Oryzias latipes: one gene and its partner. The protein of the gene in region 1 interacts with the protein of each later gene in a pairwise test. Links are inferred from orthologs where the notes say so. Each region holds a gene or a part of one and is shown in the gene's direction. Other genes may lie near its edges.

Region 1 (3,500 bases):
GGGCAAATTCTGAAAGTTTTGCTTTACTCTGAACCTAAATCTTAGCTTGGATTAATAAAACAAGAAAAAGAAACATGGATAGTCGTAAAATTTTGAGTATACGTTTTTTTGGACTAAAGTCCCAAATGTTTATAGTTGTTCAAACCATCGTCTCCATCCTGATTGAAAAAATTTTTCTAAAACTGACCCAACACTTTTTAGGAGGTTTAGGCTTCAAGTATGCTTTGTGTTTTTGCATGTGAGAGTCTATGATGTTAATTAATCTATCCTAGCTGACTCCGCCCTTGTCCTGTCCCTCCTGTAGCTGTCACTCAATACCCCCCCACCAGTCATACCTACCTGGAAGTAGGCATTTACTGTGCTGGCTTCTTTTTCATCGCTGTCATGGTTGCCATTGCCGTCATCATCAAAATTCGCTCCACATCGAAGAAGAGTGACTTCAACAGTCAGCTGGCAGTTCACAAGCTGGCTAAAAGCATCCCTCTGCGCAGACAGGTAACAGAAAGTAGATAGGGGGTTTGGAAAACTCTTTTCCCCTCTTGTTGTTTATTCAGATTTTTTGAAACTCATAGCTTTTAGTATTTTTGCTTTGTTTGCACATTTCCAATTCTGCTTTTGTGGACGTTTGTAAATAAAAGCATTCAGAACTTGCAGGTGTATTGTAGTTGCTGATGCTCATGTGTAGCAAGTAAGTATTTAAGCTGCTCTGAAACTCCCAAACTGCAGTGCTTTAACACGACCTCTGTTCCAGTATGAGAAGATTAATGTAACTGTTTCTTACATCAGGTGTCAGTGGACTCGAGCTCCTCCAACCATTCTGGAGTAATGCTGGTTCGTCCCTCCCGCCTCTCCTCCAGTGCCTCTCCTATGCTGTCAGGAGTGTCTGAATACGAACTGCCCCAGGATCCACGCTGGGAGGTCCCAAGGGACAAGTATGTTTTTCAGAAAAAACCTTGAGAGTATACCTGAACAGCAGAGGTCTCCTGGGACTGCATTTTTCCCACCTGTAATCTCAATTAAAAATAAAGGAGTTGCGTAGAGACTGAGAAAAATCTAACACAAGCTTTAGATTACAAATAAATCTGTTTTGTTTTGAACTAAAATGTATTTTTTAAGATGAACACATCCATAATTCTCTCCTCACAGACTCGTTCTTGGAAAGCCACTGGGTGAAGGATGCTTTGGTCAGGTGATGATGGGGGAGGTGCTGGGTCTGGACAAAGAAAAGCCAAACCGCGTGACGAATGTTGCAGTGAAAATGTTAAAGTGTAAGTTACTTTCTTCAAATGAAGAACAAGAAAGTTGGACTTGTAGAAAAATTTCTTTCATTGTCCCAAAATGGGTTAGGCTTTAGAGTTAATGGCAGCAAAACGTCAACCTGGGATGCACAGATTTTAGAAAAAACTTTTTTTTTGTTGGATTCCAGCCATCATTTTAACAAGAGAACTGAGTCCAACATCTCATGAAAAGGTTCTAAATCTTTCTTAGAACACATGCGACATGCCTATTGATTCATATTTGTGAATCTTTAATCTATGTTTACAACACCCTAGGCAGCATTCATTCAAGCACCCACTTCCAATGAAAATTCTATTTAAATGCGTTTTTCTGGCTTCCGTGTTCAAAACCCTCACGTTCATGCGTAGCTACGTTAGTTTTTACAACCGTAAAAACCGTAAACTTCGACATATGGGGCGGACAAGGCAGGAATCAAACTTGCAATCTTCCAACCGACCACCCTACCATTGCACCATGGCCGCCCCATGTCACCAAGTCTTATTGGAGTAGAGCTGTGGAAGAAAAAGCTGGACCAAGATTCAAGAGAATCACCGCTTGACATTGCACACCAAGCCTGTTCCAACTGTAGGTTGGAAGAGGCTTGGGATGCGCTAGTAAACAGTAAAAAAAACAAAAAAAAAACTCCATGCTTGTCCAGTGTTAACACCATGGGTTCTTGAACATGCGGCAAATGCACGGTGTGTACATAGCTTTGTAACTGACTGGATGTAGATCAATCAGCCTGTAGTGACTTATTGTCTTCTCTTACAGCTGACGCCACAGAAAAAGACCTTTCAGACCTGATTTCTGAGATGGAGATGATGAAGATCATTGGGAAACACAAGAACATCATCAACCTGCTGGGAGCCTGCACACAGGATGGTAAGACCAGATGGAGGAGGTCCTGCTTCTGACCTTTTCTGCTCTGATTAGACCATCATGTGCAGATCTGTCCCTGAGACAGGAATGTGAAAATGACCTAAAAAGATGTGCTGGACATCATGAACAAATGATTTCAACTCCAGTCTTGACTCTTGACACTCAAATCAGATGCTCATGCTTTCACTCTGATTAAGAAAACCAATCTTCAATGATCCAACAGAGGGTTTCTTCTGCTGCTTTTCCTTCTGTTAAAAGTTCTTTAAAAGAGCTGCTATTGTTTAGCATGTTGGGTTTGCTTTGCAGAGCTTTGATGGTGTGAACAATGTGAATGCAGCAACGCAGAATTCTTAGACGTGTGTGGAGACGAGACACTCGGGACCACAGTTCAAAAATGGAACAAAAAGAGAGTTTATTGCGTTGAGTGATGTTGGCGTCTTTGCTCTGTCAGTTTGTTGGAGCCAGGAGCCTTTGTCAAAAAAACAGAAATACCTCAGGAGTTCATGACACTAAAACACCAGGCTCTGTGAAACCCTCTACAAAACACACAACTAGTAAAATAATAAACACACATGCAATTTAAAACAAAGCAGCTCTGGCAACAAAATAAAATCCGTCCTGGGTTAACTAATAGCAAGATAAAAAAAACAGAGGGGTACTTGGCTCAAAGAGGGGCAGGTCACAACCACACCCCTCTGTGTTCCAATGTCGCTGTCCCCTCTGACCGCTGTCTGGCTCCTGACTCAGCTGCTCCTCTGGTGCCGGCCAGGGCTCGTCTATCCTGACTTCCAAGGCGCCCCTCTCTGATCTGTCCCGGCGGCGCTTTACCCAACGATGAGTGTTCCTCTAATGTCAGTCCAGCGCTTGCTTGTCCTGGAGCACTCCTCCGACCAGTCGCTCCTAGCATTTGGTTGTCTGGTGGCTTTTCCTCCAACTGCTCATCTTCCACTGCTCAGTATAGCTCTTCTCGGGCAACGGCTTGTGAAATAAGAACACGGTTCACCCTGTTACATGAAGTTCAGATACCTCTGTTGAAGAACCGAGTCTGTACAGTGCTGGTCCACCGATATTAATTGCAACCCTTTCGTACACATGCACACTGTCAGAGGGAGATGGTCACGTTGTTCCTTGTCTACCGCCCTCCAAAATGGTTAGGCTGGCTGGCGGCTGCTGCCAGGGCGTCCGTGGGGTTCCTGCGCCCCTAACCTTGCAGCACTTTTTCCGCGAGGCGAGTGAGTCCACAATATCTGAGTTGGGTGGACCATATCCCAGAGAAGATGGGTAAAGCTCCTTTTCTGGGCACACCGGGGCAACGCAATTTTTCCATCACTGCTCACAGCAAC
Region 2 (2,825 bases), on another chromosome or scaffold:
GTTTGTCTATATTTGGCACAATGCAGCCATTGATAAAGCTGCTTATTGATTATATGCCATTATGGCTTTATTTAACATTTCTTTCATGACCTGGAAAATCTGGCTATGATAAAAATGAGTTTTATGGCTTTTCAAGACGTTTGAATGTGCTGGAGTCGGATTGCGCTGCAGACAGTCCTCCTTTTCCAATGTTCAGGAGATTGAGCTTTGATTCAAGATGACATAGCATTTGCTGCTCATTTTGCTTTCATTCTCTAAGTGTCATATTGAAGATTTATTCATTGCTTTGTTTCCAATGTGAGCTCTCCTTGTTTGACAGGAACCCAGGCACCTGCAGTTCTTTGCTGACTTCACTGACTGTGATATCTACTCTGTGCTGTCAGCCAGAAAACTATATGGGGCACCAACAGAATTTGCTTTCTGCATCAAGGTAACAAGAAAAGAAAATAATGAAAAAACTGCAGAGACGTTTGAGGCGTGTGATTAAGTTCATTTAACGATTTTGTCTGCTTTTATCTCCGTGCCTCAGTCTACGAAGAGTTGTTCAGCTCGAGACCTGAAGCTGCTTTGTGCCGATGTTGAGCACACCAAGACCTGCTGGATCACCGCCATGCGCTTGTTAAAGGTTGGCTTACAGATGAATAACTCCAACGTGTGATATCTAAGAGGAGGAATGCCGACGCAGTGCAAGAATCAGATTTAGCTTTGACGGAAAGTTGAGAAAATCTATTGAGATGCTGGATTAATACTGCTACACTTGATATAAGGAGTATGTGTTCATTGTCTGGATATATGATAAAAAAAGTTTAAAGTTGGCGTAACTCCTGGTAATCCATAAAAGCTAAAATGCTGGAATGAATGTCTGAGTCTGTTTTCCTTTTTCACTTGAACAGTGCTGGTCTGGTGGGAGTTTAAAGTTAACTCGTGTTTGTGTTCAGATTCATGATGCTGACTTTACTCTGTGTTTCAGTTTGGGATGCAACTGTACCAAAACTTTATTCAGCCTCATCAAAAGCAAAAACTCTCACCCATGGTAGGACAACCTTGTTGTTATGCAAAATAACATGAGTATTTAAAGAACCACTCTGATGAAAATTGTGTTTTTGGTGTTTTTACACATTCGTATAGCATTTTCTTTTATTACAGTGGGCATATATAAAGTAGCATTTTTAGTATTTCTTCATTCAAGTTGTTGTCAATTAGAAGCAGATGAAAAATGCTAATTAAAACGAAGCATGTTTGCGACTTAGAAAATGCAATGGGCGGGCCACAAGTTCCCTGCTCCGAGCTCTCAGCAACCAGGAGGGGATGGGGGCGTGGGGTTGCTCTACACCAGCAGTCCAGCGCACAACTCAGAGGCAAATTTCTGATGAACTACTGCCGCTATGCAGAAACTATGTCCAAGAAAACTACACAGGTTTTTGGATTTTTGCTAAAAAGGGCTTCATCATCATTAAAAGACTACTGGAAAAGCTTTTAGAATACATCAAAAGATAAATAGAGTGGAACTATAATGAAGCTAACACCTCCAATACCCTAAACAGTTGGTTTCTACCTTGTGACAAAAAAGCCTGAAAATTAAAATCCTGCTGAGAAAATACAGATACATTCATTTGCTTTTCATACACTTACTGTAACTTTACTCAAAGAACAATTGCAAACAAAATCTGGCTGAATATAAACGTGTTTTAGGCAAAATTAAGTTGTGTGTTTGGATTAACTTTGTGGCAACTGTTTATCATTTCTAAAATGCACTCATTGAAAACAATAGTAGCAGATGTTAGTTTTAAGAAAAGTAAATAATGTGCATTTTTTCAATAATCCAAGTCTGGTGTTATTACAGTTATTGCTTAATGTTTCCTTCTGCAGTATGAATGTACATCTATTGTGCAGCATTTCATCAACAACAACTAAACGACTTAAAATTGCAATTTAAAATGCAATAAATTATATTTTAGGAAGAAGAAATACTTTTCTAAATGCAAGAAAAAGGTGTTCTATTTAAGTATTAGAATCATATTTATGGACTGCTGGTGTTCTATAAATAAATAATGATCCACAGTTGTCAGATTTCACATTCTTTTTCTCTCATTCTTTGGTTTCAAAATGTTCTATGACCATCAAGATATAATAACTACAAAGAAGCAGACTTAGTGGTTGAATGAATAACGATATAATGATATTATTTATGTGGCTGGTTCATCCAAAACCTATGTATATAATAAAGGTTTGCTTTAAATTCCTTAAAAACTCACCATTTTCATTTTATGGTACTTGGACAGAAAAGTGAAACAGGGGACATGCACATCACAACATTTACATAGTTTGATTTATTTTAAAGGAACCATGGAAAATATTTACTGTACTTGTAATCGTTCCTCATTAGTGAAGTAGTGACAAAAAAAAAAGGAAAAAATGCATGTTTTTGTGCTGGATGATTGAGTGTCTCAGCAGCAGATTTGCATTCCTAAAAGATTTTAAACCTGAAAACAAAAAACTATAGACTTATAGACTTATAAAGCATAGACGGACTTTTTAAAGAGCACTTGCTTAAATTGCAAGCTTAGTGTGGAAATTTAAACGCTTTGGGATAATCCGTGTAAGTATTTTCGTGAGTGTGTGTGTGTGCTGTTATTCAGTCACTCAATCCATGACAGTTTAAGGGACTAAAATACGGCTGTGTGTCATTCTTCGCAAAGCCACTCTAATCCTCTCTCAATGGTGTTTTCTGTCTGGAATCATCCAGAATTTATGAACATGAAATGACATCAAGAAGACACTAGGTGGCAGCACAGTATCACAACGCAGTACCTTCTATTTTTTAT

The links. The genes of interacting proteins can lie anywhere in the genome.
Region 2: the proteins of fgfr1 (region 1) and grb14 interact in a two-hybrid assay, tested with the Homo sapiens proteins (2 studies listed by BioGRID, with this or other methods). The link is inferred for Oryzias latipes from reciprocal best matches to the Homo sapiens genes FGFR1 and GRB14.

Annotation. Positions count from the first base shown.
Region 1 is NC_019867.2:20,593,812-20,597,311, reverse strand, and holds part of fgfr1 (fibroblast growth factor receptor 1 precursor), read left to right. Parts: intron 1-304; coding exon 305-501; intron 502-786; coding exon 787-932; intron 933-1,146; coding exon 1,147-1,268; intron 1,269-2,049; coding exon 2,050-2,160; intron 2,161-3,500. UniProt on the Homo sapiens protein: Tyrosine-protein kinase that acts as a cell-surface receptor for fibroblast growth factors and plays an essential role in the regulation of embryonic development, cell proliferation, differentiation and migration.
Region 2 is NC_019879.2:21,292,666-21,295,490, reverse strand, and holds part of grb14 (growth factor receptor-bound protein 14), read left to right. Parts: intron 1-319; coding exon 320-430; intron 431-529; coding exon 530-625; intron 626-970; coding exon 971-1,033; intron 1,034-2,825. UniProt on the Homo sapiens protein: Adapter protein which modulates coupling of cell surface receptor kinases with specific signaling pathways. Binds to, and suppresses signals from, the activated insulin receptor (INSR). Potent inhibitor of insulin-stimulated MAPK3 phosphorylation.